Linked DNA regions of Oryctolagus cuniculus. The protein of the gene in region 1 interacts with the protein of each later gene in a biochemical or structural test. Links are inferred from orthologs where the notes say so. Each region holds a gene or a part of one and is shown in the gene's direction. Other genes may lie near its edges.

Region 1 (3,803 bases):
GCCAGGAGCTAGACGCTTCCTCCTGGTCTCCCATGTGGGTGGCAGAGGCCCAAGGACTTGGTCCATGTTCCACTGGCTAGGCTCATTTCCTAGGCTCATTAGCAAGGAGCTGGATGGAAAGTAGAGCATTCAGGACTCGAACCAGTGACCATATGGAATGCCAGTGTCGTAGGAAGTGGCTTAACTCACTGTGCCACAGCGCCAGCCCCTGGTTTTCATCTCTTAAGTTTAATAGAATGGCATTAGTATTGTCAGGGCTGTTGAACTGATTTATGCATAAAGTTGTGTACAACTAAGTTCTGAATACAGGACACAATTGAAAACTGACTTGAGGGTAGATGTTTTTTGTGGTAATGGGATGGCAGATAAACATTGTTTTAGAGTCTAGTACTCTGTTACAAAGAATTATCTCATTAGTGTCTCTTATACAGCTCTGTTTCTCTCTGTTAATGCTCTTTTATAAATATTAGAGCTGTCTTTTTGGTTCCTGTTTTCTGCTTTTGTGACCTTTGAGATTGAGTGATTTTTTTTCCCCCTTCATTCATTATCTGATGTATTTTTTTTTTTTTTTTTTGGACAGGCAGAGTTAGTGAGAGAGAGAGAGAAAGAGACAGAGAGAAAGGTCTTCCTTCCGTTGGTTCACCCCCAAATGGTTGCTATGGCCGGCGCACTGCGCCGATCCGAAGCCAGGAGCCAGGTGCTTCTTCCTGGTCTCCCATGAGGGTGCAGGGCCCAAGCACTTGGGCCATCCTCCACTGCCTTCCCGGGCCACAGCAGAGAACTGGACTGGAAGAGGAGCAACCGGGACAGAACCAGTGCCCCGACCAGGACTAGAATGCTGGGTGCCAGCGCCGCACGCAAAGGATTAGCCTAGTGAGCCGTGGCGCCGGCCTATCTGATATGATTTTAATTGCCTTATGTTTATATGTAGAATGTGATAATCAGCATTATTGCTTGCAAATGTCACTGCTACCTTAGATTTTCAGTTTTCTTTTCTCTGAAAGCAGTTGTTCCACAGGATTTGTCAAGTCCACACAGCATATGTATTACTAGACAACAGTTGAAATCTTAATACACCAAATCAGATTTGAAAAATTGTATAGAAAATAGCATTTCAGCTGAATGTTTTTAGAATCGAATAGCTGCTTATCTTTAGTCCTGATGAATTTACTTAATAAGAACAGCAAAATCATGTGGATTGTTGTCTGTAAAACTGTAAGAATGTACTATCTCTTTGTGTAATATAATGTAGTAATTCATTTATAATTAAATGTTATAACTAGTATTTATTTAGTCTGAGAAAGGTTCTTGTTCATGTTGTCAAAGACTGATCTTTAGGTAATCCTATCTTTTGATATCAGGACCAGTAGCCAGATCTAAATAAAGTGCCACACCCACTTTATTGTTGGCATGTAGATATCTTGTTATGAGGTACTATCACTTCTTCCTTTTCCTCTTCTCTCTAGGCAAAACCACTATCCATTTATTCAAACATTTATTGAGCATCTACCATATGCAAGGCATTGTCTAATTGCTTACTTGCCTCTCAATTATGAGGTAATGTTTATAAAATGTTGATCTATTAGTGAATGATACTGTAAAATGTTAATATGTGCTAAAAGCCCATTTGGGAACTTCACAGTATTCTTACCAGGTTTATGGACTTCATAGAAGAAAATGGGGAAGTAGATTGAAATTAATGGTGTAGTGGTATATTCCCTTTTGAAAGCCTGACATGGTGAAATATTTGGCTTTTAGCCTTTCTAAAGTATACGTGACCCTGCATTAAAGCCCGTTGTAATTGTATCGTTCCCTGAGTCATGACTAATGGTTGAAAAGAGCTGTGCAGGGTTGGTCAAAGGGAGGGTTGGGTCATGAAAGAGATAAGATGAACGTTCCCTTTCCAACATACGTTGGGAAATCACCAACTATGTCTTATTTCTTTCAGTGTCTGTGGGGGAAAGAAAATCTCTGAAAACTTGATCTTAGCCAAAGGCTGAGAAGCGATAGATCTGATATATGAAACTAATTTGGCAGATTTAGTCTTTAGAAGTTTTAAGGTTGTCATCAAACATAGATGTGAAGAATAACTAATCATCTGCATGCAGACCTCATCAGACCCAAGTATCAGCTAAATGACAAAGTGAGGCAGTTGTTCCCTTACTGTGGGAAGTAGATGAGAACACTGTTGACTCACTGTATCAGTAAACCTCCCAGAAAAGAGGAGTGGACTAAGACTAATGTAGAGTGGAACATAAAGTGTGTGAATAATTGAGGCTTTATTATTATTAATTAGGTTCAGGTAAGACTTGGAGTTGGGGAATAATAACTAAGTTTATTTTAGATATTGATTTATTGGATTCCAGCTGTAAATTTTTTTTTCACTAGTGATCTCTAAAATGTTTTTCTTTAAGTAAGGAAAACTTGAAAACATATGGAAAAGTAATGGAAAAAGAATGCAAATTAGGAAATTAGAAGGAAACTGCTCTTAGAGGCAGTGTTGTAGATAAAAGCAGAGGCAAGAGTTGGAGTGCCTAGGTTCAGATCTTCAGTCCCCATTTGTTAGTACACTGCATGCCCTTGGGCAGATTATTTGACATTCTCTGTGCCTCTGCTTCTTCATCTGTAAGATAAAATGCTACAAGGGTAAAATGATGTTCTTAAGGTGTTTAGGGTAGTGTCTGGCACCATGGTAAACACTCAATAAATATTAGTTACTATTATTGCTATCTTATGCTGTTATTCAACTCTTCATTTTTCATGTCTTTTTTTCTTCATTTTCCTTTAAATCATTTTAGTGCTTTATTCTGCTGACTTTTGGCACATACGATACAAGCTTTGAGAGGAGGCTCAACTGTTTAAAATGAGAATTTAGATTATTCCTAAATTTTATTTTCTCAAGTTCTTTTACTTTAGACACAGATAATTATTTTGACTACATTTTATTTGCTCCTTGTTTGTTTTTTCTATTATAAATGAGGTTTTGAATCTGTAAGAATGTGAATTTTCCTAATCATGTCAACTTACATGTGACCTTGCTTAATTTGTGCTTTCTTTCCCTTCACTCAGAATGTTTGATGTAGGTGGCCAAAGATCAGAACGAAAAAAGTGGATTCACTGTTTTGAGGGAGTGACCGCAATTATCTTCTGTGTGGCCCTCAGTGATTATGACCTTGTTCTGGCTGAGGATGAAGAGATGGTATGTTGGGGCTTATGGTGAAAAGCCTAATGAAGCCAGGAAATGGGAAGTAACTTAGGAAGACTAGGTACATTCATTTGCTTGTTGAAACAAAGATTAATACATACTTAATATTTCTGCTTATCAGGGAGATTAGATTTTCAAAATTAATTGATCCATACCTTGTTACTCTTGAAGAGACATTCATGGCTATGATGAGTTTATGGGAATATTAAATCCTTTTTGGGGGGCAATTTTGTGGTGCACTAGGTTAAGCCCTGCCACAGAAATCCCTTGCGAGTGCTGGTTTGAGTCCAGTCTGCTCCACTTCTGATCCAGCTCCATGCTAATGCAGCTGGGAAAGCAGCAGAAGATGACCCAATTTCTTGGGCCCCTGTTACTCACGTGGGAGACCCAGATGAATCTCCTGGCTTTCACCAGGCCCGGGACCAGCTGTTGGGCAATTTGGGGAATGAACCTGTGGATGGATGCAAGTTACTCCACTTTTACTTTCACTACTAATCTGTAATCCTTTGACTCTTTTTCAGAACCGAATGCATGAAAGCATGAAACTGTTTGACAGCATTTGTAACAACAAATGGTTTACAGACACTTCAATCATTCT
Region 2 (4,428 bases), on another chromosome or scaffold:
GTGGCCAGGGCCCCTCCCCTGCCCGTGTGGGGACCTGGGCCCTCTGTGCCCTGCACCGGACCCTTCATCCCTTCCCGGCTGCTTGCTGCCCTCGGCCTTCATTCGAGCCTGGACAGTGTGCGGAGCTCCCAGAGGAGGGGAGAGGGCGGGGGGGGGGGGGCAGCTGCTCAGCCCCTGGCAGTCGGTGGCTCCAGAAGGTCCTGGCTCCTTGGCCAAGCTCCCTGCAGTCTGGACCAGAATTCCTTCAGGTTACGGAGTGCCTGGGACACGTTCGTCTATTTAATAAAATCACTTGTTATCCCATCACTTCTCGGAGCTTCCATTGCTTCCTGTTTAAAGTGAGGGTCTCAGTGCAGAGCCCCACGCCACCCCACAGTGCTCTGGGGAGAGGTCATGGGCGCAGGCAGGCACGGAGCCCAACCCCGGGGGAAGGCTGGCAAGACAGTGGCCGAGGCGGCTGCCCGGAGGGGCCAGGTGGGCACACGAGCACCCTTAAGTCCCCACTAGGGAGGGGGCCAGAGAAGGTGACCAAGGAAGCCTCTGGAGGGGGCTCCCACCTGCACAGTGCTGTGGCCCTGTGCGGGGTGGGGGTTCAGGCCCAATTCCACCATCCCCAGCCCCTCCCATGAGGCCAGGGGAAGGTCTGTGCTGACCAGCAGTGGCCTGGGGAGATGGATGCAGGTGCGGGGGGAGGGGAGCAGAGGACAAGAGGGAGGGAGTGTGCCAGCCCCCCACCGGGCCACACACCTGCATTTCCCTGCCATGGAGATACACCCCAAGTGCTGCAGGACAGTGTGGCTGTGGCCAGGGCCTCCCTGTCCTCCCCTGTCCCTCTCAGGACAACTACGTGGGCTACAGAAGAGGCAGCCACCCCTGTCCAAACAGGGCCTCCTGGCCTCTGCCTGCCCAGCCAGCCCCACAGAGCCGCCAGGGCCCCTGAACACAGCCCAGGTGTCCCCACCTGTGCCCCGGGAGAGGACGCTGGCCTCCGGAGCAGAGCAGGCAGTGCTGAGGGAGACAGGGGCAGCCGGAGCGGCCCAGTGGGCAGCAGACCTGCAGACCACGGCCAGGGCGGATGCGGCTCATGCTGACAATCAGCCAAAGCACCTGTGCCAGTCAAAGGGACTGGGCTAAGGGGACACTCGGGGCCACCGCAGGGGTCAACGGGGACTCAGCCAGGCCCCATGGGCCCTTCGGCGCGCCTCGGGGTGCGAGAACCGGCGCCCCTGCTGCCCAGCAGCGCCACGGCCCAGGGACGAGCTCCGGACCCCCACCCATGCGAGCAGTCCGGGCCGCATGCGGGACCGCAGCCAGTGGCCCACAGGGGCTGCGAAGCCATGGCCCCGCACACCACAGCGCCATCTCCCGGGGCCACCGCGGCCAAGCGCGGGGGGCGCCGGGCCGGGCGAGCGCGGGGCGGGGCGGACGGCGCGAGGAAGTCCCGGCCCGCGCTTTGGGGAAGTCCGTCGCGCGCCTGCGCACTGCGCCCGCGCCCCCTCCCCGACGCCGGGGCCGGACCTCGGAGCGCGCGGGCGGCGGCGGCGCTGGCGGCTCGGGAGCGCGGCCGGTGAGTGCGCGCGCGGCGCCGGGGACGGCGGCCCTGGCCTCGCGGCCGGCCCGGCGGTGCGCGGCGTGGCCGCCACGGCCTGCGCCGGGACCTGCCCCTCGGGGGCCGCGGTCGCGGGTCCACGTGGACCCCGGGCCGCGGCGGCACTGCAGCCCGCCCCGCGCCTGGGGGAGGGGCGCTGCGGCGGGTTCCCTTTTTGTGAGCTCGGAGCCCGGGGAGAGGTTGCTTAAAGGCGGGGGCCGGAAGGACCCAGGTTTCCGCGGCTCCCGCCCCGCTAGCTTGGCGGGGAGCGGCCGGGGCGGGACTCCCTGTGCGCCCCCGCCCCCACCCCGTCGGGTCGGCCGGCAGCCGCTCCGCGCTGCGAGGCGGACCGGAGGCCCTCGCGGGCCGGGGCTCGGGACGCCGCGGGAGGACCTCCCGCTGCCCGGCCTGGGCGCTGCGGCTGCTGCCGTGCCGTGCACGCCCCTTCGACAGCCAGGGAGGGGCCAGGGCGAACCGGCCCCTCCCGCCCCCACCCCGCCTTTGGGTTGCTGGTGAGTGGGGCCCAGGACGGGCTTCTTGAGATGGGGGTGGGGGCTGCGGAGTCTGCGGGGAGGGGTCCGCACGCCTCCTGCCTGGCCCCGGGGCGGGGACAGGGGAGGGAGGGATTCCAGGGTTGGGGGAGCCTGGCCAGACCGGGGCGCCGCCCCCCAGCCCCTGGCTAGGGCAGCGGGTCGGAGAGGTCCTGGGCGGGAGCAAAAGTTGGAAGGAGTCCCTGCCAGCCCCCTCCCAAAGATTGTGACATTTTTCTGAGATTGTCACATTTTCTTGTTCTTTTTTTGGACTGGGCGGGCTCAGGGCCGTTCTTCTTCCTTGTGTGGAGCAGAGCTGCCGCCGCTCCCGAGGGAGCCCTGTCCCCAGGGGCCGGAGTGGCTCCTGCTCTCCCCTTCCAGGCCCCGGGGGTGGGGAGGAGGGAGCGTGGGTCCAGACCCTACTGCCTGAGAGAGGGGCAGGGCTGGAGGAGGGCCCAGCACCCCCGACAGCCCCAGGCTGGGGTTCCTGCCTGGGGCAAGGGCCCTGGCTGCCGTGCCCCTTCTTTGGAAACGTGACTCCCACAGGGCACTTGGTTCCCCCCAACACACTTGGCTTTGGGACCCTCCTGGGAGAGGAAGCCCAGCAGGTGTCGAGAGGCCTTGGCCCAGGGACTGGAGTCGGTGGCCCGTGGGCCTTGTCCTTTCCTGGGTGCTGAGAGCCAAGGCCAGTGGGGTTGAGGATGCAGAGGCCAGGCTTGGGAGTGAGAAAATTAGAAAATAAAATAGAACCAAGTCCCAAGCCTCCTGGCCACAGACCCTCGGGAGAGGCCTGAGGGCCCTCACCTGGACACAGCTGCGCAGTGAGGGGATGCGCCGGGTTTGTGGCTGGCTTTGGCACCTAGTGCCCCTCCCCACAGAGGTGCATCCCAGAAGTGGAAAGGCACACCCCCACAGGGTCTCCAGGCCGACTGGGGGCGGGGTGGTCTCCCTGGCTGGCCCTGAGGCTGGCGGCCGGCAGTGGCTTCTGAGCCTGCAGGTGCTGGGCCCAGAGGGTGGGGACCTCAGTGTGCCAGTGGGGTGTGAGGGTCAGGGCAGCTGCGGGCCAGAGACGCCCGACCCGGGGCCCAGATCCCTCCTCCAGCTTCCTGTCCTGCCTCAGGCTTCGGGCCTTGCCACAGAGAGGGAAGGAGCAGCTCATGTCACCACCTCCAACGACGCACAGTCCCCTCGGGAGGGGCCCAGAGCCGGAAACCAAGAAAGAGGAACCCAGGCTTCCGGCTCCCAGGCGCTGAGCCGACGGGGGTGTCCCAGAACCTCCTCTGGGGGCCTCCTCTGGGGGCCAGCCTGGGAGGAGGGGCCGGAGGCTGGGGCAGAGGGCAGAGCAGGGAAGGAGGTGTGCTGCAGGCCACTCCCGCAGGACAGCTAGGGTCTGGGGTCACAGGTTCTCGGTCAGAACCTTGGCCCCTCTTCCCAGACCCCCCGGCTGTGGTGAGGGCCTTGGAGCTGGCATCTCGGAGCCTGGGCCGCCTGCTTTACCCACCCATGCCCACCGCGCATGAGGCTGACAAGCAGGTATGCTGCTCCCTGTCTGTCCCGGCCCCCTGGGGAGGGGGTAATGAGGGGTCAAGGTATCCCTGAATACCTGGGGTGGGCAGAAGGCACAAGTCCAGGTTTGGGGGGTTCCACCTTGAGGCTGAGGAAGCCCTGTGTCCCCAGCACGCAGGGCCAGAGGAGGCAGACCGGCCGCCTTCGATGTCCAGCCGTGATGCGGCCCCCACGGCGGCCCCCAGCCGCAACCCCTGCTGCCTGTGCTGGTGCTGCTGCTGCAGCTGCTCCTGGTACGCGCGCCTGGGACCAGGCTGGGCCCGGGCGGGAAGGGAGGTGCAGAGGTCTGGCCACCTGACGTGGCCCTGGCGTCCGTATTCAGGGCCTGGTCCCAGACTTGCCGCAGCGCCAGGGCTGGTCCCTGTGCAGGGCCAGGCCTGCTGCGTGCGCCTTCACCCCTCCCTGGGTGCCTGGTCATCCTGGGGACCTTCAGTGGAGCGAGACGGGCACAGCCCTAGAGTGGGTGGAACAGAGAGACCCCAAGGAGGGAGCAGCTGGCCCTGGGCACGGGGAAGACCTGCCCAGGCAGCAGGGTCAGTGTGTGCATGAGGCCGCAGTGGGGCTCCAGGGGTGACCAGAGTGCAGGGCAGCTGCTGGACATTGTAGTCTTTGCAGAGGTGTCAGGGCCTCGGTTACTGAAGGGACAGGACATGGGGACCTCACGTGTAGTCAGCTGACCCACGAGCAGCCAGGGCCTGACAGTCCAAGCAGGACATGGTGGGTGGTGGGAGGGGTGCAGGGACC

Evidence for each region.
Region 2: the proteins of GNAI3 (region 1) and RGS19 form a complex in vitro, tested with the Homo sapiens proteins (3 studies listed by BioGRID). The link is inferred for Oryctolagus cuniculus from reciprocal best matches to the Homo sapiens genes GNAI3 and RGS19.

What each region holds. Positions count from the first base shown.
Region 1 is NC_091438.1:60,822,043-60,825,845, reverse strand, and holds part of GNAI3 (guanine nucleotide-binding protein G(i) subunit alpha-3), read left to right. Parts: intron 1-3,069; coding exon 3,070-3,199; intron 3,200-3,726; coding exon 3,727-3,803. UniProt on the Homo sapiens protein: Heterotrimeric guanine nucleotide-binding proteins (G proteins) function as transducers downstream of G protein-coupled receptors (GPCRs) in numerous signaling cascades.
Region 2 is NC_091442.1:134,414-138,841, forward strand, and holds the start of RGS19 (regulator of G-protein signaling 19), read left to right. Parts: upstream 1-1,425; 5' UTR 1,426-1,567; intron 1,568-1,586; exon of another isoform or gene 1,587-2,100; intron 2,101-3,553; 5' UTR 3,554-3,621; coding exon 3,622-3,651; intron 3,652-3,795; coding exon 3,796-3,917; intron 3,918-4,428. Other genes in the region: protein LKAAEAR1, read left to right, coding at 1-629. UniProt on the Homo sapiens protein: Inhibits signal transduction by increasing the GTPase activity of G protein alpha subunits thereby driving them into their inactive GDP-bound form. Binds to G-alpha subfamily 1 members, with the order G(i)a3 > G(i)a1 > G(o)a >> G(z)a/G(i)a2.